Linked DNA regions of Sus scrofa. The protein of the gene in region 1 interacts with the protein of each later gene in a pairwise test. Links are inferred from orthologs where the notes say so. Each region holds a gene or a part of one and is shown in the gene's direction. Other genes may lie near its edges. The genes, in order: NUP62 and KRT20.

What was found.
Region 2: the proteins of NUP62 (region 1) and KRT20 interact in binary tests that used the Homo sapiens proteins (3 or more experiments, as listed by UniProt). The two-hybrid records come from large-scale screens. The link is inferred for Sus scrofa from reciprocal best matches to the Homo sapiens genes NUP62 and KRT20.

The regions. Positions count from the first base shown.
Region 1 is NC_010448.4:54,914,409-54,930,976, reverse strand, and holds the end of NUP62 (nuclear pore glycoprotein p62), read left to right. Parts: intron 1-7,685; 5' UTR 7,686-7,749; coding exon 7,750-8,386; intron 8,387-8,430; coding exon 8,431-9,350; downstream 9,351-16,568. Other genes in the region: IL4I1 (L-amino-acid oxidase), read left to right, coding at 15,006-15,042. UniProt on the Homo sapiens protein: Essential component of the nuclear pore complex. The N-terminal is probably involved in nucleocytoplasmic transport.
Region 2 is NC_010454.4:21,580,334-21,596,601, forward strand, and holds KRT20 (keratin, type I cytoskeletal 20), read left to right. Parts: upstream 1-4,349; 5' UTR 4,350-4,535; coding exon 4,536-4,943; intron 4,944-7,122; coding exon 7,123-7,205; intron 7,206-8,836; coding exon 8,837-8,993; intron 8,994-9,325; coding exon 9,326-9,487; intron 9,488-9,673; coding exon 9,674-9,799; intron 9,800-10,740; coding exon 10,741-10,961; intron 10,962-11,657; coding exon 11,658-11,695; intron 11,696-12,360; coding exon 12,361-12,458; 3' UTR 12,459-13,250; downstream 13,251-16,268. UniProt on the Homo sapiens protein: Plays a significant role in maintaining keratin filament organization in intestinal epithelia. When phosphorylated, plays a role in the secretion of mucin in the small intestine.

The DNA.
Region 1 (16,568 bases):
CCTCGGAGACACAGTCCTTTGGACTCGCTGCTGCTGCGCCAAATGAAAGAGAGTTTCTGTTTTGAAGGAAGGGGGTGGATATAGGGGACAGCAGCCATCTCAGCCCCAGTGGATGAGGCTTATTGTGAGCGGGTTGCTCGAGCTTCTGCGGTGGAAAGCTGCAGGGCCACGGCGGGGTCAGGAGGGAATCAGGGTCACGGCTTTGTCTCTGTCCAGGGGGTGGACCAGCTGGCAGTCAGTCTGCGACCTGGCCTTCAACACCACTCCCCGTAGCCTGCTGCTCCAGCCGCGGCTGTACCGGAGCTGGCCTCTGTCACTCCTCCTGGAAGGCTCGATTCTGACCTCTCCCCCTCCCCTGCCCCAGAAAGAGCCAGACCCCCTTCCTGGGACTAGTGTTCATTGCTCTGTGACCTTGGAGAAGTCAAATTGCTTCTCTGAGTCTGTTTCCCATCCAGCAAGGGTGCAGTGCTGCTACCCAATGCTCCTGGCCTGGGTGCCGCTTGCATAGGTGGACTCAGTAAAGGGTGGTTATTGTTACTTCTCAGTGCACCCGCCACTCACCATTACTGGGCACCTGCTGCATGCTGGGCACTGCTCTCAGTGCACGAAACGGAGCAATCCTGCCTTGCGGGCTCATCACCACCGAGAGCCCTCCTTGATGCTCCCAGGCCATCTTGTCCCTCCTTTGGTCCTAGGTGGCCTGCCCTTGCTGGGTGTCACACGCGTTCACGCCCATGAGATGGCCCCTATGGCAGGGAGTGAACAGGTTTTCAGAATTACAGCTCACAGTTCTTTTCCCCTCTAGCCCCTCAGCTGCCGGAGCCCAGCGGTTGCCACAGCCCCATGCCCTCGGCCCTTGCACAGAGGCAGGCCTGCCCCGTCGCCCCTCAGTCCAGCTCTGGGATATGTTGCCCATCCCTTTATCTGCGCTTAGTTCCATCTTGTTCTTTCTTTGTCCCTTCCCCTGGTATTAGGTTCTTATTGCTGTTGGAACAAGTTACCGCAAACCTAGTGGCTTAAAACAGCACAGACGTTTCCTCTCTCAGCTCTGGAGGGCAGACGTCTGAGCGGAGCGGAGCGCGTGGCGCTGTGCTCCTCTGGAGACCCAGGGAGAGGCTGCTTTTGGCCTTTCCGGCTCCTCCCAGGCCACCTGCTTTCCTTGGCTCGTGGCCCCTCCCTCCGTCTTCAGAGTAGCCTTTCCTGCAACGGTCCCAGTCCCGCTGGCTCTGCCGTCTGCCTCCTTGAGGACGTTTTAAAGCCCACACACAGATCATCCGAGACCATCTCCCCGTCACCTCTGTCAAGTCCCTTTTTGCCGAGTGAGGTCGCATGTTCACAAGTTACAGGATTGGGGTATGGACATGTCTAGGGCTGTTCTTCTGTCCACACACCACACCCCTCCCCCCATATCCCCCTTAATCTTTCCATTCCTCTGTTCCAAGGCTGAGGTCCCCCCGTATTCATCCCCAGCAAACGCCCCTGCTCTTGCTATCTGGAGGTGGGGGTGGGCGTGAGTCCCGGGACTTTGCTCTGGCTGCTCCCTCTGGTCTCAGATGCTCTTCCCCTGGGCTGTCTTGTTTAATGCCCACACCCTGCACCGGCGCCCCCACTGCCCCTGCCCCACTCCGTCTTTTCTCCTTGACGCTGAGCCTCTTCTAACACGTAATTTCTCTGTGACGTCTTTTCCTGCCTCTCTCCCCTGTGGGGATGTGAGAGCTGGGGCTCGTTGGTCCCATCGGTGATAAAAAGATGCACAAAAATACCTGTTGTGGGAGTTCCCTGGTAGCTCAGTGGGTTAAGGATCAAGTGCTATCATTGTTGTGGTGTGAGTTTGATCCCTGGCCTGAGAACTTGCTCTTGCTTGGGCATGGACAAAAAAGACCCCCAAAACCTGTTGTATGACTGACCATTGTACTGCAGAGAATTGGGCCTATGTGACCACCCCGCCTTGTGGGGACAGGCCTTTTTTCCTCTCTGTTGTCATCACTACGCACCGGGCAGGGCTGAGTAATTGCTGGATTGAATAAAGTAGATAAAGTTGGGTTTGGAGCGGCACAAGAACTGCAGACAGGGCTGAGGTTGGTGGACTCGTGAGGCTCGAGGTGACAGTGGAGAACCTGGGTCCTCAAAGCCAGGGACAGGAGTTCCCGTCGTGGCTCAGTGGTTAGCAAATCGAACTAGTATCCATGAGGCCTTGGGTTCGATCCCTGGCCTTGCTTAGTGGAGTGGGTTAAGGATCCGGCGTTGCCGTGAACCGTGGTGTAGGTTTCAGACACGACTCGGATCTGGCGTGGCTGTGGCTGTGGCTGGCAGGTGCAGCTTCAGTTCGACCCCTAGCCTGGGAACTTCCGTATGCTGCAGGTGTGGCCCTAAAAAGACCAAAAAAAAAAGGCCAGGGACACGGTGTGTGTCTATAGGTGGGAATCCCAGACGCCCCCCTGGGCTGCGAAGGCAGCTGGAGGTGGTTTGAAAAACAAGGGCAAGTGCATGGCTGCCTGCTCTGCCGGTAACTCCCTCAGCGCCCTCAGGCAGCCACTTCTCCCTCCGGGCCTCATCCCCTGTGGCCGACGGAGCACACCCTCAGCTTTTTCCAGGAAGAGCACCGCCTGCCCCGCTTTTGTACCCCCCCCCCCCCCCCCGCCAGCACCGCCAGCTCCTCTGTGGGGAAGCTCACCGCTTTGGTAAAAGTGGACGAGCCCTCACGGAGGGCTTCCTCCTCTCCCCCCAGTTCACAGTGGTGTGCCTGTGTTTAGCCACCTTTGTGAGAAACTCTGGAAGTTCTGGTTGGTTAACCAGGACAGGCCCTGCAGAACCATCAGTTTGTCTCATTTCATTGCAGATGTAGACATTTCCTGACCTGGGGCTGTCTTCGCTGTCCCTCGAGTCCTGGCTCAGGTCTTGGGCTCAGGGCCTGGACCGTGTCCCAGCCTCCACCCCTCCAGCCTATCCCCCACACACAGATCTGGCCATGTTAGGCCTTCCCAGAAGCTTCCTTAAAGTTTCTCCACGGCACCCTCAGGATAAAGTCTGACCGTGATTGTGGCATCTCTGGCTCTGCCAGCGTCTCTCATCATGTCACGTGGCAGCATACAGGCATGTCAGGCATCCCTGAGACCACCCTCAGGTTCCATGATTTGCTAGGACTCACAGCTCAGCAGAGTTGTGGTTTATTACAGCAGAAAACAAAAAGATTGAAATCAGCAAAGGTAAAAGGGACACAGGGCAGAGTCCAGGAGACACGAGGTCACAGCTTCCGGTCGTCCTCTCCCAGTGGGGTCACACAGCACATGCGCAGAATGTTGCCCACCAAGGAAGCCTTGCCATCCAGGCTCCGAGCACCTGTCACTGACCTTTGTTACTCAGTCCCCAGCCCCCCACAGATCATGCTGATACCCTGAGACACCCGCCCCCTTAAAGACGTGCTGTTAGGCAGGATGCTCCAAGGACTTAAGGTTCCCTCCCAGGAGCTGGCAGGGGCCAGTCGTTCTTTGGGATGTGCGGGGTTCGGACCACCTGGGCCTGCCTGTCAGCCCTTCCCTGCTCCCCCTCAAGCCGGGCCTCCTCCCCATTTCCAGGCGGAGGCCAGGAGTTCAGTAACCTCCCTGGACCTCACTCCCCTCGTTTGTCAGATGGACCTGTTTTCGGGCACAAGTGAGCAGGGGCCCGCAGTGTTCCGGGCTGGGCCAGGGCGCCCTCACCATCGTTCGTGGGTCCCTGGCATCCGAGCTGTTGGAAATGGATGACCGAACCGTTAAACCAGGCAGGCCCCCACAGAAGATTGTTTTCCTTGTGGTTTCTTAATGGTATAAAAAGCAAAGAACTTTCTATAAATGCTCTTCTGAAAACTTGTAGCTGCAGCTTATTAATAATAGCGAAAGTTCTCTCGGGTGAGGTCTTGAGAACTGAGACGCGGAGTTGTAGCCATTCTGGCTGCTTCTACTAACAGCGGACCCGGCTTGAGGGGCAGGGGTGGGGTGGGGCGTCTCCAGCCAGGAGGGGTCTGGCGCAGGGCCAGGTGCCTGTGGTCTTCAGAGTGGCGGCCACCACCTTTTTCTGAGGCCCACAGAAGGGCTTTGCAGAGAGGCCAAGGCCGGGTTCCCGTCCCCGGAGAGACGGAAGTTGGTGATATGAGTGCCCGTGCGCGTCTGGAGTGTGGGTCCTGGAGGTGCCGGCCTGGAGGGCGCCAGTGGAGATCTGGCCGAGACCAGCAGGCTGGGGTGGTCCGGGCTCCTCTCCCCAGAAGCACGGGCACAAGGCCAGAGCTCTGCTAGGAAGGCAGAGGGAAGGGCAGCTACGCAGGCAGGTTTCCTCTGCCTCTGGCTGGGAGAGGGTTCCCTGTGGATCCCGAGAGAAAGGAAGAACCAGGCTGGGAGAGGGAGCAGGACCTGTGGGCACCTTCTCTGGGCCAGGCCCGCGGCCCCTCAGTCGAAACCTCGGGTGATTCTCCCGGGTGCGAGGGGCTGTCCTCATCACAGGCAGGGAAGCAGAGACGGAGCAGGGGCAGCCACCTGCCCCGGGACCCACAGCTAGTGAGCGGCAGGAGCAGAGTTCAAGCCCGGGTCTTTCCTTTATATCTGGAGACCAATTTCGTGCCTGCAAACGGAGCCACAGTGCCGCTGTCTTAAGATGAAGGGAGAATAAGCACACGAGGGTGGGGGCAAAGTGGGCTGCCGCTGGCTGTGCCCCTGGAGCAGCACTGTTGGCCCTGTGACCTGCTTGATGGAGCAGAAGTAGAGTGGGTTTGCAGGGCAAAGGCAGGGGTCCAGGGACCCACTGTGGGTGGTATCGCAGGTGACTTGGTCAGAGCCCCTCCCCTTGCACCTGTGTGCCGGGGCCATCACCCCGACCTCATCACAGGGCGGTTGTGAGGAGGGGTCCATAGCTCAGTGCTGGGCACACAGCTATCGGGCCAGGGTGGGTGACCTAAAAACCACCTTGGTCTTGACACTGGAGTGGGCACTTCTCATGCAGCCCAAGGCACCCTGAGCAGTGACAGTGACCATGAGTTCGTGTTTAATTTGAGGTCAGCCACGACCCCCGGGTCTTTTCATGAGAACTTCATAGTTGGGTTCCCAGCCCCTCCTGGGCTTCCTTCTTTGCTCACCACTTCCAGAGGCTGCCCAGAGGGACAGTGCTGCGCGTCCCAGCATGAGGTGCCAGTGGTCAGAGCACTGGCACTCCCCTGACCTTGGCCAAGCTGCAGCTGAATCTCAGAGCCCTAGGGTGTCGGGAGGCCTCCTCTCTCATCCCCAGGCACTTTCTACTCCCCTGCTATATTTGCTTGGCTGCTCTCCTGGGTGACCACAGACTTGGCAGCAGAAACACTACAGATCATTCTCTTTCAGATGAGATAAGATCAGTCTAACAGTCTCACTGGGCTGAAATCAGGTGTCAAAGGGATGGTTCCTTCTGGAGACTCCAGGGGAGATTCCGGTACCTTGCCTTTTCCAGGTTTTAGAGGCCGCCTGCACTCACCGACTCTTCTCTCATCGAATCTCTCTCTGCCTCCATTTTATAAGGACACCCATGGTGACATTTAGGGCCCACCATTTAATCCAGGATAATTGCCTCATTTCAAGATCCTTAATTTAATCACACCTGAACATTCCTTCTGCCACACACTGTGGTGTAGTACAGGTTCCAGGGAGTGGGACACGGGCATCCTTGGAGGCCCACGTCTTTGGCACAGTCTTATATCCATGTGCCAGCTTCCCCCGCTGCCTTTGGCCCAACCCGTGGTGTCTGGTCCTTCCCCATGCCCGAGTCACCTTTGGGGCAAGACGAGGTCTGATTGAGAGCCAGCCTTGGGGAGGCTTGTTTAATTCAGTAACTCTATCTGTCCCACTTGAACTGTGATTTTTAGAACCTGACTGCATGGAGTTCCCTTCAGGGTGCAGCAGAAATGAATCCAGCTAATATTACCACGGGATGCGGGTTCTGATCCCTGGCCTCGCTCAGTGGGTCAGGGATCTGGTGTGACCGTGAGCTGTGGTGTAGGCTGGCAGCTTTAGCTCTGATTTGACCCCTAGCCTGGGAACTTCCATATGCTGCGGTGTGCCCCCCCCCCCCAAAAAAAGAAGGAACCTGGCTGCACAAGTTTCCTGGTTCTGCAGAGTAAATTTATACCACGTGATTTAGTTATTTTTGAAAACCTTGCTTATCATTACGTTTCTTTATTGTACAGACAGAACAAGCGTTTGGAATGACTGCCAGTTACCAAGCAGCTGAGCCACGTGTAGTCCCACACCCCAGAGACAGCCCCTGACCACATCTCGATATATTTCCTTCTGACCTGCTTTGCTCTGAGTTGTTCTCTTTTTCCACAGCCGAGATTGCGCTGCACTGCTAAATTTGCCTGCCGCGTCCCTTTGTTGTCATTTCTCGCATTTCTTGTGCATAGTTGAGGCCACATCAGTGGGTGTGATGCAGATCTTCCCTTGTGGCTGATACCTCACTGGTCCCCTCAGTGGGTGCAGAGAAATGCCCTGCCTGTCGTCTGGTGCCTGTGCTGGGCAAGGAGATGCGTGGGTGGGGCCAGCAGGGTCCCGAGAAGACCCTCGGCCTGGGTCCGCTCCTGGCAGGTCACCGCAGCCCTCTGAGCCCGTTTCCTCATCTTGGACACGGGGACCTGACCTTTGCCTCCAGACCGCGGTGGGAGGGCGCATCCACGAGCTGCCTGCCTGACGTCAGTGCTAGCGTGGGCCCCTTTGCCTAAAAACATCTCTGTCTAGCTCACCCTCTGATCCTTTCCTCTCCAAATCACCTTGGACATTCCAGCTAACACAAGGCTCTGCTCAGGGCTTTTCAGTTAGAGATTATGGAAATCCCGTCAGCTTAAACCCAACGGGGGCTGGGCTGGCCCACAGAGAGCTTCTGCTAAGATGGGGTGAGGCTGGTGAGCAGGACTGGATTCTTCCACAGTCGCTCTCTCCCCATCTCCTCTCTGTGCTCTCTCGGGTGTCGGCCTCTTTCTCCCACTGCCAGCGGCTGAGAAGATGGGGGTGCCCTGCAGGTGCAGGAGGCCGCCTCTCCCGCACCTGGAGAGAAACCTCTCAACTGCCTGGCATCTCAATGTCCTCTTGACCTGGGGTGCCAAGCGCTCTGATTGAGCACCCAGGTCTCCTGCTCGCCCCTGAATTAGAAGGAGGGTGGGGGTACACACCTACCCTCCTAAACAGTGTGGGTGCACAAGGGGGGGCCTTGGGCACCTGAGGCCTTGCTACACGGCTTTGCTTCCCAGGGCCATCTCTCTGTGAGATCCAGAATCAGTCTACATCCCGCCCGCTTGCAGTCAGCAGAGGGCTCTGCAGCGTGGGTCCCAAAGGCATTTGTGTGTCTCTGGTCCCGCTTGCCAGAGCGCCTCCAGTCTGACCGCCTCCTTGGGCTGCAGTCGGTTGGGCTTCCCCCCCTCACAGCGGGACTCCAGCTGACCAGGCTGTGCTGGGCCCAAGTCCATCCTGCTCCTTGCGCCTAATCCGCCGGGGTAGCGGCTGTGTGTCCCGGTCCTTCCTTCCTAGCTGAGCAGGGCCTGCTTAGGTTTGGTGGCGGGAAGAGCAAGGGTGGCCGCTTATCGTAATTATCGAGCCCTGCCACCCTGCAGATGGGCTCCATCGTGCCACTGAGGCTGCCTTTCCAAAACTGCCATCTGATCGTGTCACTTCCTCTGCTTTAACCATCTTTCCAAGGTTGCAGACACCGGTGGAATTGCTTTGGGAGCCGGAGTAGCTGCTGCCACCAGAGTCTGGAGCCATGAGCAGGTTTAATTTTGGAGGCACGGGGGCCCCCACAGGCGGGTTTACATTCGGCGCTGCAAAGACAGCAACGACCACACCTGCTGCGTTTTCTTTCTCTACATCTGGCACCGGAGGGTTTAATTTTGGGACCCCTTCCCAGCCGGCCTCGAGCACCCCTTCCACCAGCCTGTTCTCACTCACCACCCAGGCTTCAGCGACAGCGCAGGCCCCGGGATTCAGTTTTGGAACCACAACTCCTGCCGCAGGAGGAACTGGGTTTTCCTTAGGCCTGAGCACCCCAAAGCTAAACCTGAGCAGCAGCGCAGCTGCCACCCCAGCCCCAGCACAGCCCAGCGGCTTCGGGCTGGGCGGCAGCACGCTCTCCAATGCCGTCTCGAGCGCCGTCACATCCGCCCAGGGCTCCACGCCCAGCGGCTTTGTGTTTGGCTCCACCACCACCTCTGCTGCTCCGTCTACCACGCCCGGGGGCTTCTCGTTCACAAGTGGAAGCACGTCCCAGACTGGGACCTCCAGCTTCAACATCGGCTCCGTGGGGAGTTCGGCCCAACCCACAGCCCTTCCCGGGCTGCCCTTCACTCCGGCCACTCCAGTAGCCACTGGGGCGGGGGCCACACAGCCGGCTGCCCCCACACCCACCACGCCGCCGCCGCCGCCGCCACCACCACCACCACCACCACCACCACCACCACCACCACCACTGGGCCCACGCTCTTTGCCTCACTGGCAACCACTCCAGCCTCATCTACCACCTCGGGGCTCTCCCTTTGTGCCCCAGCAACCACAGCCGGAACGCCCGGAACAGGGATGCTGGGCTTTAGCCTGAAGCCCCCCGGAGCAGCTTCCACCACCTCTGCAGCCACGACCACCACCGCCGCCACCGCCACCACCACAGGCTTGGCCTTGAATCTCAAACCACTGGCACCAGCTGCCATCCCCAGCAACACAGCGGCCTCCGGGACCGCTGCAGCCGGCCCCAGTGCGGCCACCGGCGTATCCGCCAACCCCGCGATGACCTACGCCCAACTGGAGAGTCTGATCAACAAGTGGAGCCTGGAGCTGGAGGACCAGGAGCGGCACTTCCTGCAGCAGGCCACGCAGGTCAACGCCTGGGACCGCACGCTGATCGAGAACGGGGAGAAGATCACCACCCTCCACCGCGAGGTCGAGAAGGTGAAGCTGGACCAGAAGAGGCTGGACCAGGAGCTCGACTTCATCCTGTCTCAGCAGAAGGAGCTGGAGGACCTGCTGAGCCCGCTGGAGGAGTCGGTCAAGGAGCAGAGCGGGACAGTGTACCTGCAGCACGCGGATGAGGAGCGAGAGAAGACCTACAAGCTGGCCGAGAACATCGACGCGCAGCTCAAGCGCATGGCCCAGGACCTTAAGGACATCATTGAGCACCTGAACACGTCGGGGGGCCCCGCCGACACCAGCGACCCACTGCAGCAGATCTGCAAGATCCTCAATGCGCACATGGACTCCCTGCAGTGGATCGACCAGAACTCGGCCCTGCTGCAGAGGAAGGTGGAGGAGGTGACCAAGGTGTGCGAGGGCCGGCGCAAGGAGCAGGAGCGCAGCCTCCGCATCACCTTCGACTAAGCCCAGGGCGTCACCCGGCAGCGCGCATGTGCCGTGTGGAACGTGCAGTCACTGTCTTGGTTCTGGTTGCAACGAAATACTTGGTTGGTTGGTTGCTTGCTTCTTTCTTTCTTTCCTTCAGATAGCTGTGCTGTTGAGAGCACTGTCCCATGGTTTGACTTTTCGTCTTAGGGGGTAGCAAGTATTCTTAGCACTCCGATCCAGGCAGCAGCTTAGTAGGTGTGGCGTCTGTGTGTTCTGGACCCTCTCCGCCTGCCGCCCCCCCCCCACCTCCAAGTGGTGGAGAAGCGCTGAGCCACCTCAGAAGCCCGGCTCCCAGCCAGGGGGCCCAGCACACAGTTGTGGGTGCAGGGAGAAAAGACTGAGGTGCAGGAGTCTCCGTCCTGGAGGAGCCAGCAATCGAGGGTAAATGTAGTCAGTACAAAGAAGTGACTTAGGAATGGAACGGACAGTGGGAGGTAGAATTTCAAAGGCGGAAAGATAGGTCTGCTGAGGGGCTGGAATGAAGATGTCTCATCTTGCCTGGCTGACCCCTCCTCCAGGAAGCCCTCTCTGCCACCCCGAGCCTGAGTCAGGTGGCCGTCCTGTGAGCCCCACAACGCGGAGCTAGTGAGTACCCAGTTCACGACCCCTTTGGTAACGCTCGCCATGTTGCCTTGTGCCCCTGGCTTGCTTCTCTGCCTCACCCTTAGCTTGCGCGTCCCTGTGGGCAGGGACTATTTCTTGTTGCCTTTGTGTCCTCAGTGCAATCCTTGTCACACTTGTCAATTGTATTAACAGTGGACCTGAAACCTGGCATAAAACATTAGTCCACAGAGTGCCCGTTGAAAGGGCCAGGGTGCCAGAGGTGGCCCCTGACTTGGCTCTGAACCTCTCAACGCCAGAGCAGACCCGGTCAGTTCGTGAGATGCACGGTGTTCGGAAGACAGGAGCCAGACCACCTGCATCCCAGGTGGCTTTTGTATTTGTCTCTACACTCTTTTGCATCCTCTGAAATACCCATGGCTGTATGTTGCTTTTCTTCTAAAGAAAATAAAAGTTACCGTGGAACCCGAAATGCTGCTGTTAATGTTGGCACCTTAGAAGGAGAGGGTTGAAAACAGAGCAGGTTCAAGTTCAAGTCAGATGCCATTTGTCTGAAACTTAGAAGCAAGCAGAACCAGAGCATTGGCGAGGCATGCCCACGCCTAGGCAGAGATGTTCACACGTCTGGTGCTGATGCAAGAGAGGAGCACACGGGGGCACCAGTTGTAGCTGGGTTGTATCTTCCGGCATACAAGCGTCAGGTCGCCATCCCCAAGGCGTGTCATTGGCAGCATTCCTGCCTTTGTTACCTCAGGCTGCCTGGGGGGTTCTGGCCATGCCTCAACCGTGGGAAACAGGTAAAGCTGGGGGGGCAGCCGCCTTGTCTCGAGTGATTTCCAGACACCAGCCTGACGCGCTGCCTCGGCCCCTGGCCCCCGCAGCTGCGAGTGACGCCGAGCACCTGGATCTGGTTCCTGGTGCGGAGCAGAAAATATGCCCAGTTTTTCCCCTCCAAAGGCTCCGCCTCCTGCCACAGTGGCCCCTTGTGCAGTCTGTGAGCCATGACCTCATCCAGGACCCATATCTGACCCCTCGCCTGAGGGGAGGAGAAATGGGGATGCCTCGAAAATCAGAAGTAGTATTTTTACCTACATGTATTCACTCTACACCCATCTTTGGAGCACCTGCTACATACCAAGTCCTGATCTGGTATTGGGGTTTTGAAGATGAAACCCGATTTACCTATGAGGTCCTTGGCAGGGGCCACACAATCATGGTAAGAAAAAAAAAATGATTGAACTTGCATTTGCCATGTGTATAATGTACCTATTATTTGGCATATTAAAATTAATGAAGCTTAATGGCTTTCTGATAGTTGTATTTTTTTGGTAAAAACAAAATGAAGTTGGAGTTCCCTTGTAGCACGTTGAGTTAAGGATCCGGCATTGTCGATGCTGCAACTCAGGTTGCCACTGTGCCTTGGGTGGTTAGGTCCCTGGCCCAGGAACTTCTGCATTCCTGGGAGGTCAGGGAGGGGGGCCCCAAGATTGCAACAGGCTCAGCAGCTGGCTGGATGCTGACTTCATTGTAATTGCAGTTTCCCTTTCCAGGAATAAAACAGCTAATGTTTCTTTGCCAGTCCAGACACATAGCCTCTCCTTAAGTTCCTCTTCATTAATTAACATGAAGACAACAAACGTGGTGACTAAAGTTGGAGTCAAAGGCTTTTAAAGGTGAATCTCCTCAGTAAACTGTTTCCTACATTTCTTCTCCCTCTTCAGGGAAGAGAGTGGCCGTTGGATTTACGATGATGGCCTTGCTTTCATCTCAAAGACACCCTCAAACTCCCTCCCTCATGGCCCAGCCCCTTTCCCCAGGTTGCTGCCCTGGCCTCCTAGGCACTACAGGGCATCAAGGGTCAGATGTTTGAAACAGCCAGCATTTCCGGAGCGAGCGCAACCTTGATCTCCAAAGGGAAGTGGTTGAAACAGATGATTCCCTAGTGGGAGCACTGAGGTGCTGGTAAATGTCAGCGCCCCCAGGGGGAGAGGAGCCCTCATGGGCCACATGTGCCAATTCCCATGGTGTAAATTCTCCCACCAGGACTGATTTCAAGCCACCCGGTGACTGAACACGAACTTGGGAAATTGCCATCCCACGTAGGTAAAATTAATTCACCAACGTGTGTGTGCGTGCACGTGTGCATATATTTAATAGTAACAATGTAATCAAATAATTGATGAGATTTGAGTATTTGTTTTTAATAAAAGTAATCATAGGAGTTCCTGTCACGGCTCAGTGGAAACAAATCTGACTAGTATCCATGAGGACACAGATTCAATCCCTGGCCTCACTCAGTGGGTTAAGGATCCAGTGTTGCCGTGCGCTGTGGTGTAGGTGGCAGACCTAGCTTGGATCCTGTGTTACTGTGGCTGTGGTATAGGCTGGCAGCTGCCGCTGATTCAACCCCTAGCCTAGGAACCTCCATATGCCACAGATGCGGCCCTGAAAAAACAAATTAAAAAATAAGTAAAATAAAATTAATTACAAATATTGCAATTTTTAAGTAACAGCTGGCAAAGCAAAACCAAAAAGAGGTCTGAAAATTAAAGTCAGCTCTTGTGAAATAGTATGAGCCACCTTCGGCACACCACTGCTCCCAAGGTTTGCAGTCAACCTCAAAATTGCCTGGGTGCTTTAACCTCTGTCCCCAGGAGTTCCTATTGTAGTTCAGCAGGTTAAGGACCCCATGTCTCTTTGAGGATCCAAGTTTGATCACCAGCCTTGCTCAGTGAGGTAAGGATCCAGTGCTGCCGTGGCTGTAGCATAGGCCAGCAGCTGTAGTTCCAATTCAACCCCTGCCCGAGGAACGTGCAGGATGGCCCTTAAAAAGGGGGGAGGGGGGAGTCCCTGTCTTAGCTCAGTGGTTAATAAACCTGACGAGTATCCAGGAGGATGAGGGTTCAATTTCTGGCCTTGCTCAGTGGGTTAAGGATCTGCCGTTGCCGTGAACTGTAGAGGTCACAGATGCAGCTTTGATCTGGCGTGTCTGTGGCTGTGGCACAGGCCAGCAGCTGCAGCTCCCAATTCCACCCCTAGCCTGGGAACCTCTATATGCCTCAGGTCCGGCCCTAAAGAGACAAAAAAAGGTGGGGGGGGGGAACCTTCTCAGGAACAAAGTCCTTCACTCTCAGAAGTCAGGTCTGCCCATGAATACTAGCCAGCCCCCAGCCAGACTTAACTGTCCAGAGCTGCCCCTGGGCCTGTCCCATAACCCTCACACACCTTGGCACTGATGACTTGCCATACCAGTGACTCCTGGGCACCTGCCCACGCCTCAACTCCAAACACCATCCTGCCTCAGCCCCATGACTTCCAGAGATTTCCTCAAGGCAGAGACCAGACCTGCTGTGCTGCTATGCTCGGTTCAGGCCTAGCCTGGGGCAGGGCAGTCCCATCAGACCCCTCCTGGTCCTAAGGACAGAGACTCCCAGATCCACTGAACTGAAAATGGCACTTCTTTACAGTGTTACTTAGATGCAATGCAGACTCTTTGTTGATTCAAACTGTTTTAAAAAAGGTTTTGAGGAGTTCCCATCGTGGCACAGTGGTTAATGGATCCGACTAGGAACGGTGAATTTGCAGGTTCAATCCTTGGCCTTGCTCAGTGGGTTAAGGATCCGGTGTTGCCATGAGCTGTGGTGTAGGTCACAGACATGGCTTGGATCCTGCGTTGCTGTGGCTCTGGCGTAGGCTGGCAGCTGTAGCTCCGATTAGACCCCTAGCCTGGGAACCTCCATATGCCGTAGGAGCAGCCCTAGAAAAGGCAAAAAAAAAAAAAAAAAAGGTTTTGAGGAGTTCCCATCATAGCGCAGCGGAAACAGATCCAACTAGGAACCATGAGGTTGCAGGTTTGATCCCTGGCCTCACTCAGTGGGTTAAGGATCCGGCACTGCCATGAGCTGTGGTGTAGGTCACAGACACGGCTCAGATCCCAAGTTACTGTGGCTCTGGCGTGGGCCGGCAGCTGCAGCTCCAATTAGAGCACTAGCCTGGGAACCTCCATATGTCTTGGGTGCAGCCCTAAAAAGCACACGCCCGCACACAAAGTTTTGAGACAGTGAAATGCAAGCATTGACTTACCGCCAAGTTTAAATGTGATAACGGTATAGAGTTTTTGAAACAGCAAAATAAGTTATTTTAGAGCAGAGGTTGGCAAATTATGGCCCCACTTCCTATTTTGTTAAGTAAAGTTTTGTTGGAACACAGCCGGTTCATTTACATGCTGTGACCTCTTCGAGGGCAGGGTTGAGTAGGCAAGGTGGAGACCATGTGGCCCACAAAGCCTCATATTTATAGAGAAAGTTTGCCAACCTCTTCTTACAGAAATATCCTTGCGTATTTTACCTACAAAATAATAATCTGTCTAGGGTTTGCTTTGAAATAACCCAATGGGGAGTTCCCGTTGTGGCTTGGCAGGTTAAGAACCCCACATAGTGTCTGTGAGGATGCGGGTAGGTTGAGGAGCTGGCATTGCTGCAAGCTGCAGTATAGGTCGGAGATGACCACTCAGATCCAGTGTCGCCATGGCTGTGGCGCAGGCCGGCAGCTGCAGCTCGGATTTGATCCCTACCTAGCCTGGGACCTTCCATGTGCCAAGGGTGCAGCCCTAAAACAAACTCTGGGAGGAGTTCTCTTGCAGTGCATCAGGTTAAGGGTCTGGCGTTGTCCCTATAGCAGCTCCGGTCACTGCTGTAGTGCAGGTTCAGTCCCTGGCCTGGGAACTTCCATATGTCACAGGCGCAGCAAAAAAAAAAAAAAAAATTAATTAAATTAAAACCCAGTGGGGAAGGTAGAAAATGTAAATGAAACGAGATGGGCTATGAGGCGATGAATGCACCTGGGTTCATCATCCTAGTTGCTCTGTTTTTATATGTGTTTGAAATTTCCATAATAAAAAGCTCCTGAGAAGGGAGGGCCTCCCCTCCACAGCCTCTCTGCTTCTCTGACCCCACACCAGGACCCTGGCATCTCTGGTCTAACAAGGGAATCAGGACAGAGCCACCACCACTCAGCCCGGTTTCACACACGCCCAACGATGACTTCGGTCCCAGGCTAACCAGCAAGGCCATGGGCGCTGAGAGAGCCTGCCAGAGCCAGCCATGCAGTGAGTGTCCCTGTCGGGGCCCTGGGGTTCTAGGAGCTGGGGCGGGGGCCCTGTCTAGGGGTCAGGCCAGAGATCTGGGGCCTCAAGGAGGCCTGCCCTCTGTTCTCTACACCCCTCCCCAACCAGATCTGCACCCCTGACTGCTGTCTGGGGCCCTGGGTGTCCCACGGTAGGCCCTGCCCTCCTCTGAGACTCGGTCAACATTTTAATTCTGACCAATCAGGGTTTCTGGGTGACAGAGAAAAGAACCTATGGGAGGCACTAGCCCCATCTCTCGCCCATCTATCTCAGCGGCCACCATCACTCTCAGCTGTCCAGTGGGCCACAGCCCCATGGGAGCCAGGCTGGGTCTCCGGCTGCTCCGGGAGTGACCGAACCCCATTAGACCTGTCGTTGTGGTTCTAGAAGCAAGCCAAATAAGGTGGGGTCTTCTCCCTGAAGACAGTTTTTTATCTGAAAGGACTGACACTGTTTTTGAGAAACTCCATCATAAAAAAAGACAATCCCGGAGTTCCTGTTGTGGCGAAGAGGAAGTGAATCCGACTAGGAACCATGAGGTTGTGGGTTTGATCCCCGGCCTCGATCAGTGAGTTAAGGATCAGGCGTTGCCATGAGCTGTGATGTTGGTCGCAGACGCATCTTGGATCCCATGTTGCTGTGGCTCTGGCTTAGGCCAGCAGCTGTAGCCCCAATTTGACCCATAGCCTGGGAACCTCCATATGTCTCCAGTGTGGCCTTAAAAAGCAAAAAAAAAAAGGCAAACCTAACCCCAAATCAGCTGAGGCAGACAGTTGATTCGGTGGGAAGGCCCAGGTCTTCCCCACCATCTGCCCCTACCCTCGATTTCCTCCCCCAGGCTTAGGAAACCTGGCCTAATCCACTGCTCTTTCTTCTGACCCCGATCCGCACCCTAAATTCAACCCCTAACATCACTCTCCTCGATGCCGTCAGGAATGACTGGAAGTTCCAGTTATTTGCTCCAAAGCCGTCCCAAATGACTGCCTCCTAACCCCAAAACAACCTCTGCCATCCGGCCTCCCTGCATTTCTCTTCCTGCCAATTTTCCTGGACCATATCTGGCCATTCTTGGGCATCCCGCCCAGCACGAACCTAACCCTGGCCCAGTGCTTTTCAGCCCGGGCAATTCCCCTGCCGCCCCGGGAGCCGTTGGCAATATCCGGAGACATTACTTGGGCCTAGAGGGGCGAGCACTGCTGGCACGTGATGGGTCAAGGCTGGTGACGCCCCTTGACATCCTGCCCACACAGGACGGTCTCCACAGAAGTGGTCCCGCCTGCCCGGCACCGAGACGGGGCACCCCCACCTCTGGTCCTCGAGCCAGAGCGCCTGGCTGATCACCACGTGCTCGTTAGGAACACAGGCCTGGGAGTTCTCTTGTGGTGAAGCTAGTTAAGGATCCGGTGGTGTCACTGCAGCGGCTCGGGTCACTGCTGTGGCGCAGGTTCGATCCCTGGTGCGGGAACTTTCACATGCCACCGGTGCAGCCAAAACAAAACCAAAACAGC
Region 2 (16,268 bases), on another chromosome or scaffold:
GGTTACAGAGGCAGCTTGGGTCTGCTGTTGCTGTGGCTGTGGGGTAGGCCAGCAGCTGCAGCTCCGATTTGACCCCTAGTTCCCCATGGGAATTTCTACATGCCACTAGAGAGGCCCTAAAAAGGCAAAAAAAAAAAAAAAGACGAAAGTCCTCTGAAAACTATAGCACTTATGATAATTCTCCAAATTACCAGCCATACTTAATATTAATTATTAACACCCTTATTAGAGTCTGTCTCAGAGGACAAAATGCACTTCCAATTAGTTACAAGGAAGTGGGAATCTAAAAAATATTTATTTACAGATGGAGCCATCCAACAGGCTGCAGTATCAGGAGATGTAAATTCATGCCTTGTGTATGAACAAGAGTCAATAGGATCTGTACCTAGTCCTTAGGTATAAGCCAGAAAAATTAATTGCCTGATTAATTTTTATTAATTAATACTAGCCTGCTTTCCTCTGGTCACATTATAAGATATAATAGTCTAACAAAGCATAAAACTCAGGGTGATGGAGGAGCCAGCAAATTCGTGTGCCCTTATACAAAGGTGTGGAAATCTTCACAATAGAAATTCTTTTACTCCAACAAATGAGAATATTTATTGACTGAACCCCATATTAATAACCTACTGTATCATATTTTAGTTTAAATCTAAAGTTTCAAAAGCTTACAAATACTATCCAAAATTCATGGGGGAAAAAAAATCACATAAAGCTTTTCTCCAAAAAATTAAAAATTATTTTAATCATTTTAATGAGATTTTAACTCTCTGATTAAATGTAATTGGGTCCAGCCAAAAGGAAGAACTGAACAAAATTATCACGTTTAATAACACACTTTGTATTCTTTCTAGTTATAAAACTAACTCTTGATTTAAATAATGCTTCTACCTACCTTGGTGGATGAAACCCTTAGGTGAAACTAACTCACTGCAAAACTTGTATAATTTAAACACTACGCTGTTCCAGTGACTTCAAACAACCTCCTTCTCCCCCATTAAGCAACAAAAAAAATTACTTTTGTGAATACACATAGATAAAAAGAACACAGTTCCTCTGTTTCTAACATGTTCCTCGCTGCAGATTTTAGCTGAGACATCTGTTTACATGGTAATTTACAGCTCTGTAATGAACAGCAAGGTCTGCTTATTTCATGTTCAGTCATTGGTGGTGAACTCTCAGGGAATTGACTGCTGCATATTTGAACAGATAAAAATATAAGCAAGAATTTCCCTGCACCATATACACCATAAAGCTCATGAAATAGGTTTAACTTTGTCTCATAATTTCTTGACTATCATAATATAATTGAAGCAAAGCCTAATACAAAATAGTATTTTAAAGTATATTTTTAATAAGACGTAACAAATTGTGAGGACATATTTATATAGTTACGTTGTTTTTTAACCAATTTATGCATTTTATATTTTACTTATTTTCAGAGGGTGTATTATTTTTGTTATTCTTGCCAGTTAAGTTATTCTTTTTATTATGCTATATAAAATATTTAATGGTATATAAGGCTTTCTTCTTTATACACTTTAGTTGCATCATATAACAATTTTAATATAATGCTAATTTTTAAAGAAAAATTGAAATGTAATAGATAAAACTAAGTAGTAAAGATGAACGCCATAAAAATGGGATAAAGTATAGAATAAATTTCCTATTTGTCTCAGCATATTTTCCATTCCACTTCTCCAGTGGAAGTCACTTAACCTGTTTCTTAAGATCCATGATATAATAATCTGTGTGAATGTAACTGTGTTTAAATGTATGTATTTTATTCTGTAAAAAATAAAAATAAAATTTCAGAACTGAAAAAAAAATAAAAATAAAAAAATAAAAGTAAAGTATATCTTTGGAGTTCCCGTTGTGGCTCAGGGGTTAACAAATCTGACTGGCATCCATGAGGAGGCAGGTTCGATCCCTGGCCTTGTTCAGTGGGTTAAAGATCCCGTGTTGCTGTGAGCTGTGGTGTAGGTCACAGACGTGGCTCAGATCCCTTGTTGCTGTGGCTGTGGTGTTGGCCAGCAGCTGTAGCTCCAATTCAACCCCTAGCCTGGGAACTTCCATATGCCACAGGTGCAGCCCTAAAAAGCAAAATAAATATTTCAGAGGAGGTACGACTTTCTTTGGCCAGGGTGTTTGCATGAAGTGGAGCAAATCAATAAATTCCATTCGTCAGATCCCCACTGGTGAGATCACACCCACAGCTCACCTTGAGTCTGGAGGTCAACACACCCGAGGTGGTTTCCAGTCCAATTTCGGAGGCTGGGTGTAGCCCCAAGGCACTGCTCACACTCCCTCCTGTACTTGGAATTGCTCTGCTCGTGCCTTGAGTATGGAGACCCAGGGGAATATCTGGCTTCTGTGGAAGCTTCTGCAGGCGAAATCCATTGGAGATTCTAGCTGTAGGATGGATGGAGCAGAGTCTGTCAGATGGCAGGGGTTCAAGCTCCTTCACTCACTAGGTCGGATGCCGAGTACCATGATATATATTCTAAGTTTCTAGGGACGGAGACCTAAAGCCAGGCGGTGACTGAGAAATTTAAATGCATTATGTGATCTTAGGACATTAGAATTAAGGGGGAAAAAAACTTCAAAATCATCCATCCATTACTTACCTAAGTTCATTTAATTCACTTCCCCAAATTACATCTCCAAACGTATAAATGTTTTGTTTTAAATATGCAAGGTTTTGTGTTTGTATGAAGTATTTAAAGTCTTATAAAATATGATCTTAAATGGGATAAACTTAGCCAAAAAAAAAGCATAAACCAGAGATTCCAAAGAATGATTTATCAATACATATAAACCATTGTTCTTAGGCAAATGAAAACCACAATGAAGAGACGCTGCTTTGAGAAAGATGCCCAGTGTTCTCCTTACTTGCTGCAGGTAATAAATCATTCCTTCTCCCGGTGGCGGGGGGGGGGGGGGAAGAATGAAATAATGAAATAGCACCTCACACCTATTAGAATGGCTATCATCAAAAAGATGGGATAACAGAGTTCCCGCTGTGGCACAGTGGGTTAATGATCCAGACTGTCTCTTTGGCAGCTTGGATTTGATTCGTGGCCCAGGACCTTCCATATGCCATGCAAGCAGCCGAAAGAGAAAAAAATAACTAATAAATAAAAATAAAAAGATGGGATAATAGGATGTAAAGAGAACACTGGTGTACTATTGGTGGGAATGTAAACTGGTACAGCAATTACGGAAAGCAATACAGAGGTCCCTCAAAAAATTAAAAATGGAACAACACCATGATCCAGCAATTCCACTTCCAGGTATATTTCCAAAGGAGATGAAATCACTGTCTCAGAGACAACTGCCCTTCCATGTTCATGGCAGCATTATTCATAAATAGCTAAGATATGGAAACAACCTACATGTCCATCAACGGATGAACAGATAAAGAATATATATACATATATATACACACACACACAGATATTCTGCCACCTGCAGCAACAGAGAGACCTCGAGAGCATTATGCTAAGCGAAAGAGCCAAGGCAGAGAAAGGCAAATACTGCATAGCATCACTTTTATGTGGAATCTTAAATTGAAGAAGAAAAAAAAAGTCAAACTCATAGAAAAGAGAGTAGAAAAGTGGTTGCCAGGGGCTGGGTGTGAGGGATATGGAGAGAGGTTGGTAAAAGGGTACAAACTTTCAGCTATAAGATGAGTAAGTTCTGAAGATCTCATTTCAAATGTGGTGTCTACAAAAAAAAAAAAAAAAACAAAGAAAGAAAGAAAAAGAAAAGCAGTTCTTATTGTGGTGCAGTGGAAATGAATCCGATGAAGCCTTGCTCAGTGGGTTAAGGATCCAGTGTTGCCATGAGCTGTAGGTTGAAGACATGGCTCGGATCCCATGTTGCTGTGGCTGTGGCGTAGGCCGGCAGCTGTAGCTCCAACTAGACCCCTAGCCTGGGAACCTCCATATGCCACAGGTGTGACCCTAAAAAAACAAACAAACAAACAAAAAAAAACATGGTGACTAGAGCTGACAACACGGTATTGTATAATTGAAATGTACTGAGAGTTTTAAAATGTACTGAATTTTTAAAAAAATTTTAAGCATTGCTTTTTATCACCAGTGTGAGTTACTATTATATAACCACATCTGTCTTTTCAGGTAAATTATTCATAGAGACTGCAAATACTCTTTATGTGTATATTAGGATGGAAAATAAAAAGGGCCAAAGCAGGTGCAGAGGATAAAAGAATACACCTTCCTGTTTCCTTTTGTCTCCCCTGTTTAAAAAAGAAATCACCTCTGAGTAAAGCCTCTTAGAAAGGCCTCTAGTGGTAATTTCTGGAACAGAATTAAACAGACTGCTGCACAAAGGAGAGGAAAAAAAAAGCAAGGCAAGGTGGACTGCGGTGTCGATCGATCGTAAAGGGAGATGTCAGCACAGGAGGCGTTTCTTTCCTGTGAACTCTATAAAAGGTCAGCTCATCCAGGACCAAGAGACAGACTCTGCTCCATCCATCCTGAAGCTACAGCTGCTCCCTCCTAGAATCCCCAATGGATTTCAATCAGAAAAGCTTCCGCAGAACCCTGAGCTCTTCCTCCCAGGGCCCTGCACTCAGCATAAGCAGCTCCATATACAGGAAGGGGGGCACCCAGTACCTCGGAGCCGCACCCAGCGTGTATGGGGGTGCTGGAGGCCATGGCACCCGCATCTCAACTTCTAGACGCGTGGTGAGCTATGGGAGCGACCAAGCTGAAGGGAACCTGTGGGTTGGCAATGAGAAGATGACCATGAAGAACCTCAATGACCGCCTCGCAAGCTACCTAGAAAAAGTGCGGTCCCTGGAGCAGTCCAACTCCAAATTTGAACTGCAGATCAAGCAGTGGTATGAAAGCAACACGCCTGGCATCAGTCGGGACCACAGCGCGTATCTCCAACAAATCCAAGATCTTCGAAATCAGGTGAGGCGTGATGTCTGGGCTTTCCACTCCATTGGTCAGCAGCATGATATGTATGTCAAGAAGGCAAATACGTTAGGTGGGTCCAAACGCTATAAAGCAAATTAGGTTTAAATGTTGCGTCGCTCAAAATGGTATATATCCCATTATCTACCCTGCGTACTGCAGTACCTGACTACATGATAGGATGACTGTAAACCATTCATTTAAAAAATCATCACCATCCAATTACACATAAAATATTAAAATTTTATCCTCCAGTCTTACAATCTGAATTTTGGTCACACATAGTCTACCAAGTCTGGGCTAAGCAGGTAGTAAACATATTTTTCTGGGAAGAGCTAACAATTTTTTATGTAGCAATAAACCTTTCATAGTTTTTCACCTAATTTCTATCAACTTTTAAAACCCCGGTCAATTGAGAGATTTTCCTCCTTTCATTTATGTAAATGTTGTAATTCAAGCAGTAGAATATTCGTTCAGAGATTTCAATGATAAAGTGATTCAGGGTGGAAATGGGGGCAGGGGCCAAGGTCTTAATGATACCTGGATTTTAAAATGTCTTTTAAATGTTTAATAATCTGATCATCCCCCAGCAGAAACCAGTTCTACAGTCATAAAGTATTTTATTGCCCGCAATTCAAATTTATTGCAATCATACCTGCTCCCATATCATACAAGAAAAGGTGGAGTTCTCCGTTTTATCAATTTTATGGAATAAAAGACTTTGCTCCTAGTTGAAGATCTCAAATATGATACAGAACACTTACTCTGTTTGCTAACCTTATCTAATCCCTCCCTTTCGTTTTCATTTCTATTTTAACACTCCTATTTCTTGAGAGCAAGGGCCGCTTGCCAACATGTCTCTTTCTCTTATGTTGTGTTAGACATCAGCGCAATTCGATTCAGATTCATAAGAAGTTATTTCGGGGTTTCAGGAGGATGGGGATGGGAGACAAAGGTGTTTAAATTGTCCCTTCCACCAACATGTCATTCTCCTTGGGCTCCCGCTAGAAAACGTTCAAAATCAGCCAGCCATTCGCCCTACCCCCTCATGATTCACGTGTCTGAAGTTACCTTGGACATCCCAAACACACAGGCAAATGTTCCATTTAGGTGGGCAGACCCAGGATGTGAAGGAAGGCAGTGCTTTTCGGGACTAGGGCTATTGAAAGAGACCTGCCATTGTAGCATCTTTTACAAGCAGATTTCTGGTCCACTTTAGAGGACTCAGTATCAGGTAACTGCTCCTTAAGATCAGGGGTTTATCCATCCTGACAGCCCCAGTGCCTAGTCGAAACCCTACCACATAGCAAGGGTGCATTCATTTGGCCAATATTTAGTAGATATTAACTAGGAGCTGGGCACTGAGGAATATGACGGTGGAGATGATGTGATGTGGGGGAAATGGGCATGCCAAGGATGGATAAATCCTGGCACTGAGGGAAGTGTAGGGCAATGAAGGCGCAGGCAGGTTATCCAGCGCTGTTTTGAGGACAGACCGCCTTGAAGCAATGATGCCTAAGCTAAGACGTGGAGGAAGAGGAGTTCACCAAGCGAGAGGGGCTAAGAGGACTACTCTAAGCAGGAACAACATCAAAGGCAAGGCACACAATAAAGTCTGATGGCTCGAGTTGAAATACACCATCCGTTTGTAAAATCGTAAGCTGGCCAAACCCTTGGGACTCAAGTTGCATTTTATGAGTCTTTGTGTGAGAAAGACCCATCGCAATATGCCGCTTTTCTGTTTTCATGTGAAAAGCCTTTGAGGAGTTCCCGTCGTGGCGCAGTGGTTAACGAATCCGACTAGGAACCATGAGGTTGCGGGTTCGACCCCTGGCCTTGCTCAGTGGGTTAACGATCCGGCGTTGCCGTGAGCTGTGGTGTCAGTTGCAGACGCGGCTCGGATCCCGCGTTGCTGTGGCTCTGGCGTAGGCTGGTGGCTACAGCTCTGATTCAACCCCTAGCCTGGGAACCTCCATATGCCGCAGGAGCGGCCCAAGAAATAGCAACAATAACAACAACAACAACAACAAAAGACAAAGGACAAAAAAAAAAAAAAAGAAAAGCCTTTGAGATGAATATCATCTTTGATATGAGAGGGGTGGTAGCCGAGGATAAACTCAATCACGTTAGGCTCTTGTCCAGTTGAAAATATCGTTCTCTCTTGCATGTTTTCCAGATTAGAGACGCTCAGCTGCAAAATGCTCGGTGTGTTCTGCAAATCGATAATGCCAAGCTGGCTGCGGAGGACTTCCGGCTCAAGTAGGTTCTCAGACACCATGGTAACACCTCCTGGAAAGGAGAGGCTTTCGGTGGTCCTTTATCACACTTTCCACACTATTGCTGCCAAAGGAGCTACTGCGGATTGGTTTCAGGACCTTGGGGTTTTAAGGGTGTTAGAAGCTATGTGGTCTAGTCCAGCATCAGGACCGGACTTCTCTCTCCCACAGTCCTACCATCTGGTGCCCAACCTCGGAATGAACACCTCCAGTAAATACTACTGTTCAACTTGGTCAGCCCTGGTTGCCAGAACCTTCTTTTTTAATAACCTGGCATCTACCTCTTCACCCACTGAACTTAATTCTGCCCTTTGGAGTAAGAGCAAGGCACTTTACAACTTCCCTTCTGCCTACGTGCACTTCTATTATCAAAAAAGAGCTATTTATCTACACTTGGTGATTCTCCAAGTGAGTCATCCACGTTCCTTCCAGTGCCTGCAAGGGTTTGATCCAAGTTCTGGGATGATTCTTGATGCTTTCTAGTTTGCCAGTGTTTTACGGTAAGGTCTGACCAACCAAAGAACTAGGTTAAATAAAGCAGTGAAAACTGTGTTCCCTTTCTCGCAGTCACTACATGTGATCAGAGCTGCTCCTCATACCTGCTTCTATACTGGGGCTTCCTCATTCTGAATTTGTAGGAGGCATTGGCACTAAAGAGTCTTTTGAGGTTAAGAAGGATAACATTTTAACACCGGTACAAGGGATCAAAAAGAAAGAAACAAAACAGAGCTGAAAATTAAAGCAGTAAAAGCTCATTAACTCCATTCGGCCTCTGGGTATCTCATTGCATTGCCATGTTTTAAAGTTTACTTTAATAAAAATGAGAATATGTGATTGCAGAAGAGAATGCATGATCTTTGTATGTATCGGTTTACCAAGTAACAAAAACAAGTTGATGGTGTGTATTCATTAAGTAAATCTAACTAACCATTATGTAACACCAATAATGAGAGCACTTTGTTAATACGGTAATTAGAGTGAGGTATCTTTTGATTAAATATATATATATATATATATAAAATCTAGAGTTTAGGAACTTTTTTTTTTTTTTTTTTTTGGTCTTTTTGCTATTTCTAGGGCCGCTCCCGCGGCATATGGAGGTTCCCAGGCCAGGGGTTGAATCAGAGCTGTTGCCACCGGCCTACACCAGAGCCACAGCAACACAGGATCCGAGCCGCATCTGCAACCCACACCACAGCTCACAGCAACACGGGATCCTTAACCCACTGAGCAAGGCCAGGGGTCGAACCCACAACCTCATGGTTCCTAGTCGGATTCGTTAACCACTGTGCCACGACGGGAACTCCGAGTTTAGGAACTTTTAAAAGTAATTTCAGGTTGCTTTTTTTTAACCAATCACTCCAAATCACAGAGACTATATTATGAAGCAAATGATCTGATTCCAAGGCTCTCGAGAATATGTTCAGACGGTATAAAGGGAGCCACAACAATGTACTGAACTTGATCTCGTGTTATGCCACATAACACTCTGTGTGGAGACACTGATATACACAGTGTGATGTGGTATACAAAGTCGACCTCGCTCCTGTGAGATTCTCTTCTACAATGGCTTCAGAAGGACTCAATTACCTCTCCATACTAATTACTTCACAGATATGAGACTGAGCGGGGGATCCGCCTAGCCGTGGAGGCTGACCTCCAAGGCCTGCACAATGTCTTTGATGACCTAACCCTAACGAAGACAGACCTGGAGATTCAGATTGAAGAGCTGAATAAAGACCTGGCTCTCCTCCAAAAGGAACATGAGGAGGTGAGAAAAGATTCAGAGGTGGTATTGGAAATAATATCATGGCTCTAATAATAATAAAGAGGGGGAGGAGGGGGAAGAGGAAGACCTGGTGATGCTGGTGACAGTGAGGAAGAGGACGAGAATGACGGGAGCCCTGACGCCTTTTCTGAAGGCTGCTGTCCGGGTTAAATGACTTAGAGCGGTATCTGGACCACAGTAAGCCCTATCTAAGTTGTTCTTTCCTATTACGCATCCCCAATGAAAGAAGCCGGAAGACGACTATGTCTCTTGGGCACAGCCTCACCTGAGAATGTGCTTCAGACGCTAATTGAGCAGGACTTTCACTCTCGTAGGAAGTGCAGAGTCTACGCGCTCATCTGGGCAATAACGTAAATGTAGAGGTGGATGCTGCTCCGTCCCTGAACCTCAGCGCCATCATGAGTGAGATGAGGCAGAAATACGAAGCCATGGCCCAGGAGAACCTTCAGAAGGCCAAAGAACAGTTTCAGTTGCAGGTAAGAGAATAATCCTAAAGGGTAAGCAAATATGTAGATGCCGTCCTCCAAAAGGAAGTAACGCCCATCTCCCCCCTCCTTCCCTCCCTTCTTCCCTTCCTCTCCCCACCCCCCACCCTTCCTTCCTTTCTTTTTTTTTCTTCTCTTCCTTACTATTATTTTTTTTTTTCATTTTTGGCACTTCAGATTGAAACTCTGCAACAAGAAGTCACAGTGAGCACGGAAGAGTTAAAAGGAGCCAAAGATGAAGTAAAGAATCACAGACGCACCTACCAGAGCCTGGAGATAGAACTCCAGTCCCATCTCAGTACGGTAAAGCACAGCTAACCTTCCACTCTCAGTGCGGTGTGGGGCCCTAAGTATTAGGAACCCTGAAAATGCAAAGACCTAGAAGAAATAACCACTCCCCTTGCAGAGCAGGTAGGAGAACGGACCAAACAACTGATGTCTAATTTAAAAAAAAATGACAAATGTTTATATGAATAAAAAAATAAAAAAAAAAAAAAAAAAAAAAAACAGAGAGAAGTCAAGGCTAAGGGCAAGTCACTGCCAGGGTCTGCAGGGAAAAAAGTCCAGCTGGAAGACGCCACTGGGAAAGTGGCATGTAAAGTAGACCCGAAAAGGTGAGACGGATTTTTAATAGGAGGGCAGGGGTCACAACATTCCAGGCTAAGCACCTCAGTCAGCTCATGATGAATTATGCTATCGTAACAACCCCCAAATCACAGTGGCTTCCAGCGACAACACTACATGCATCACGGGGTCTCCACAGCTTTGCTCCGTGATATTTCCACTCCGGGCTAAGTCTGACGGAGTAGGCACGACCTGGAGCATGCCAGTGTTGGGCCAGAAAGCAAAGGGCAGTGGCCCGACCACATGACAGCTCTTAAAGCTATCTCTGCAGAAAAGGCATGTGTCCGGTTCACTTGCATTTCATTAGCCAGAGTTGCAAGGCCAATCCTCCAAAAGGAAAGGCGCCCCAAATCACAGGGAGGGGACGCAAATACCGAGAACACCAATACACTGGACCAGAGTAAGAGGACAGTGAGTGCAAAACTGAAAACAAACAAACAAAAAAGCCCAAGAGCCGGTGATCCCAGCCTAGATGGAAAGAGCAGGAGATCAAGCTGGCAATACGCAGGATGCCCACAATGACTAGCTGCAGAAATTCTTCTCAAAAGAAATTAAAATCGAGCCACTTCTTACATTAGGTCCTCAACGAAAAAACGTCCACTTTTTTCTTGTGCTCCTAGAAAGCAGCTTTGGAGCATACGCTGGAGGAAACCAAAGCTCGTTATGGTGCCTATCTGGCCAAACTCCAGACACAGATAAACTCCCTGGAAGACCAGCTGGTGCAGATTCGGACCGATACAGAACACCAGATCAATGAGTATAATATTCTCCTTGACATAAAGACCCGGCTTGAGCAGGAAATCGCTACCTACCGTCGCCTTCTAGAAGGAGAGGACTACAAGTAAGGCTCTCGGAATCAAGGGGTGTGTGGCAGTGGCTATACATGTCCATCCGTTAAACACCATCATTCATTCCCCAGCGCCAATGCCATCCCTGGCACAAAAGCAGTTACACACACCCCACTGCCGCCACCATCACCACCAAAACAGAAATATACTAACAAGTACCCACACCCTCCAAGCACCAAATACATCCTTCCTACTTGAGGTCATATCATAGGACTGAGGCAGAGGAGGATTAGGCAAGCGATACCCATTGTATTCATTTTTACGATTAAGACATCATTGAAAGCACTGTAACTTTTTAGAGTTCTCACTTCGAGGTCATGAGTTAAACAGGCCTAGGTTTGCAAATCATCAGTGTTGCAGCAACAACTTGTCTGTCATCAAACACATCTGACGAAAGCAACAGAGGAACCCAAGATGTAAATGCCCATTGTAATTCTGTCATTTGAATTACAAAAGCTTCTGGTACATGTTATACAGGCCAGTTTTGAAGCTACTTATATTTAGAATTAAAAAGGAAGGCGCTCAGGTTTGAAGCAACCAGTACTGTAACAGTGAGGGGGAGGGGGTTGGAAGAGCAGGACAACACACACTACTCAGACTTTATTTTGAAACAAAAAAGGCAAAAGAGAGTTTCGTTTTCAAAATGTCAATAACACTTTTTGCCTGTTTCTTTTTCTTAACAAAAACAGAACTACAGAGTATCAGTTAAGCACCCTGGAGGAGAAAGGTAAGTGTTCCCATCTTCACACAGTTCCTATAAGACTGAATTCTCACTCAGTAGTTTCCCCCTTTTTTCTTGCCACTGGTGAAAAGTAAAGCGATCATTCTCAAGTGAAGAGCTATTACCCAATGGATTCTGAAAATCAAGCACCTCACATCAAGAACCCTCCAAAGGGGAGACTTCTCATGTGCCTTACGACAGACAGAGTGATTTTCTTGGCCCATGCTTTACAGAATCCTGAGATGCTGAGAAGGAAAAATAAGATAAAAAAATGTGCTTTTTAGGAGGTCTCTAATAGTGTAGCGGATTAAGGATCTGGCGTTGTCACTGCAGCAGCTTGGTCACTGCGGTGGCGCAGGTTCAGTCCTTGGCGTGGGAACTTCTACATGCCCTGGGCACGGCCAAAAAAAAAAAAAAAAAGGGCATTTTACTTAATTCAGTACTGTAAATTTCTTGAAAGGTGGGAGAGTAGAGAATTGTAAATTTGGGAGGAGTGGCACTTTTTCTGCAGTTATTTGTAAAATGGAGTTAAGATGATTTGAGAAAGAGAATGGGCGAGATTTTTCTCTGCAGGAAGGAAATGCATACAAAATAATAATTTAAAGATGACGATTATAAATGAGCAGAGTCATGTGTCTGAATTAACATTTTATATTTAAATCTAAATTCAGATATAAAGAAAACCAGAAAGATTAAGACGGTTGTGCAAGAAGTAGTGGACGGCAAGGTTGTGTCATCTGAAGTCAAAGAAGTGGAAGAAAGTATATAAATGGCTGTCAGAAGATGCTGCTGCTGAGGTTTGGAAGAAATATAAGAAAGCGGCATCAGAAAGCACCATTAATGCTTCATAGTTATTGGGGGGGGGGAGCCCATTTACCAGTCTCTGTAATTGAATATAAATGTTTTAGTCACAGAAGCTGCAAATTGCCTGCAAAAATGAAATCCAGTGAGCACTGGGCTATTTAAAATATCATTACTGCCCGTTTGATCACAAAACGCATTAACCACAAGCTATAGATGACCTAACATCAATTCCTAATGTTCCTGGAAATTACAGCCCATTTCAATTACACTAAACCTTACAGAGCAGAGGAGTCTATGCAAAGAGCAAATGAATGTCTCTCTAATTCCTCCTGTTTCTGAATTGCAAAAATCTCGTTTCAGGATTCCTGAGTTAATTTCTTGGTTAATTTCATTGAATTTTCAATCACGATATAATTCTGCTGGCTTTAACTCATATTTGCATTGTCTCCGCTGCCTTTAAAACTCAACTCGGCTCTGAATAATTTGAGAGCCCATTCCAGTCATCAGTGCTGAGCAGAAATCAGAATGAAATATATTATGCTTGAAATAGGAGTCGATTAAAAGCAAAATTAGTGAAACCCTTCGCAAGGCAGAACGCTTCTCCTTTAACTGCATAAATCGCATAAATTGGGTCGGCGGGCACTCTCTTTCTTTACATGGTGAATGTATGTTATGAAATGCTTCTCACTATTTTTTTAGTAACGGCTCTAATGAAATGTAATTCACGCACCATAAAATTCGTCCTTGTAAAGTATGCGATTCAGTGGTCTTTGGTGTGTTCATCAGATTTTGCAACCATCATCACTAACTTTAAAGCATTTTCATCACCCCCCCAAAAAAAGCTCCATTAGCAGTCAGCCCCTATTCTCTCCTCCCACCCCCAGCCCCTAACAACCACTAATCCACTTCCTCTCTCTAATGGATTTACCTAATCTGGACATTTCACGCATATGGAATCACACCATGTGCTCTTTTGTATACAAATGTTGGTAGCAGCATGACTCATAATAGCCCCAAGTGGAAACAGCTCAAATGCCCATCAACTGATGAACGGATAAACAAAATGTGATGTATCCCTACAACAGAATAGTTCTGTGGGAGTTCCCTTGTGGCACAGCAGGTTAAGAATCCAGCATTGTCACTGCAGCGGCCAGAGTCACTGCTATGGAGCAGGTTCGATCCCTGGCCCAGGAAATTCCCCCCGCAGCCAACCCAGAAAAAGGGATGAAGTACTGATACATGCCACCACATGGATGAACCTTAAAAACACGATGCTAAATGAAAGAAACCAGACACAAAAGGTCACATGTTGTATTCTAGGGAGCATTCTAAATTCTAAATTCCATTAAGTTTGCATTTTAGTGAGCAATAACTGCCCTGTAGGTGTTTACAGGAAAAAATTAATTTGCCCTCTTATCATTGCATTCTAATAAATGAATAGCTCAGATTTATTTATTTATTTTGCTTTTTAGGGCTACACCACAGCATATGAAGATTCCCAGGCTAGGGGTCAAATTAGAGCTGTGCAACTTCAGATCCGAGCCGCATCTGTGACCTACACCACAGCTCACGGCAATGCCGGATCCTTAACCCACTGAGCAAGGTCAGGGATCAAACCTGTGTCCTCATGGATGCTAGTCAGATTCATCAACCACTGACCCAGGACAGGAACTCGTAGATTTAAATTTTAATATTTAAGTTTGTAAACAAAGAGGATTTTGAGTGTGATTGCTATACGGAATATAATAATTCACTTAAGAATAGTAATATCTGGGAGTTCCCGTCATGGCGCAGTGGTTAACGAATCCAACTAGGAACCATGAGGTTGCGGGTTCAGTCCCTGCCCTTGCTCAGTGGGTTAATGATCCGGCGTTGCGTGAGCTGTGGTGTAGGTTGCAGACGCGGCTCGGATCCCGCGTTGCTGTGGCTCTGGTGTAGGCCGGTGGCTGCAGCTCCGATTCAACCCCTAGCCTGGGAACCTCCATATGCCGCGGGAGCGGCCCAAGAAATAGCAGCAACAACAACAACAACAACAAAAAGACAAAAAAAAAAAAAAAAAAAACTGTAAGAATAGTAATATCTACCATTCATTGGGCATTTACTATGTGCTAAACAGTATGCCAGCATCTTATATGCATTTCTCATTTAATCTTCACAATTAAATTGATATCTTCTATCCATGAGGATGAGGGTATCAGGTGGAATCATACGAACTTGCCAATAGGTGATCATTTTTGACCTTCAAAAAAAAAGCAATTTCAGAGTTCCCGTCGTGGCTCAGTGGTTAACGAATCCAACTAGGAACCATGAGGTTGCAGGCTCGATCCCTGCCCTTGCTCAGTGGGTTAAGGATCCAGCGTTGCCCTGAGCTGTGGTGTAGGTTGCAGACTTGGCTCAGATCCTGCATTGCTGTGGCTCTGGCGTAGGCCAGCGGCTATAGCTCCAATTGGACCCCTAGCCTGGGAACCTCCATATGCCATGGGTGCGGCCCTAGAAAAGGCAAAAAGACCAAAAAAAAAAAAAAAATCAATTTCAATGTGGTATGACCTTATAGTATCTCCATTTTATATATGAGGGAAAATGAGAACTATTTTAATATTCAAATTGTATTCTAGGAGTTCCCGTCGTGGCACAGCGGAAACAAATCTGACTAGGAACCATGAGATTCAGGTTCGATCCCTGGCCTCACTCAGTGGGTTAACGATCCAGCATTGCTGTGATCTATAGTGTAGGTTGCAGATGTGGCTCGGATCTGGTGTTGCTGTGGCTGTAGTGTAGGCCGGCAGCTGTAGCTCCAATTGGACCCCTAGCCTGGGAACCTCCATATGCCACAGGAATGGCCCTAAAAATAAATAAATAAATAAATAAATAAATAAATTGTATTCTAGTGAGCATTAGATATAGATCACTTTATCACACATTAGAATCATCATCAAGTTGTTACATTGGGAGTTCCCGTCGTGGCGCAGTGGTTAACGAATCCAACTAGGAACCATGAGGTTTTGGGTTCCATCCTTGGCCTTGCTCAGTGGGATAAGGATCCGGCATTGCCATGAGCTGTGCTGTAGGTCGCAGACACGGCTCGGATCCCGCATTGCTGTGGCTCTGGCATAGGCTGGCAGCTACAGCTCTGATTAGACCCCTAGCCTGGGAACCTCCATATGCTGCAGAAGCGGCCCTAGAAAAGGCAAAAAAAAAAAAAAAAAAAAAAAAAAAAAAAAAAAAAAAGATGTTACATTGCTTTTTATGAAACCATCAGTGCAGAGTGGAGCTTTCAAATGCAGAGAACTTCTGTAGGGAAAGCTAAGATGGACAGAAATATTTTTCTTGGGCTTTGGGAATTACTTCTACATAGAGCCATCTAAAAAGAAGAATGACATGAAATGATATAAAATCAAAACCTGGAATTCCCAGTGGGTTAAAGGATCCCAAGTTGCTGCAACTGCTGTGGTGTAGGTCACAGCTGCATCTCGGATTCAGTCCCTGGACTGGGAACTTCCACATGCCATGGGTGCAGCCATAAAATTTCTTAAAATTAAATTAAATTAAAATTAAACTTTGACCAGTGGCACCCTCTGCTCTCACTCTTACTCACTTGGGGGCAGTCTCAGGTACCCAATTATACCCTCAAATAACAATTCTAACTTAAGGCATTGGCTAGTGATTTCTTTCTTTCTTTCTTTCTTTCTTTCTTTCTTTCTTTCTTTCCTTCCTTCCTTCCTTCCTTCCTTCCTTCCTTCCTTCCTTTCTTTCTTTCTTTCTTTCTTTCTTTCTT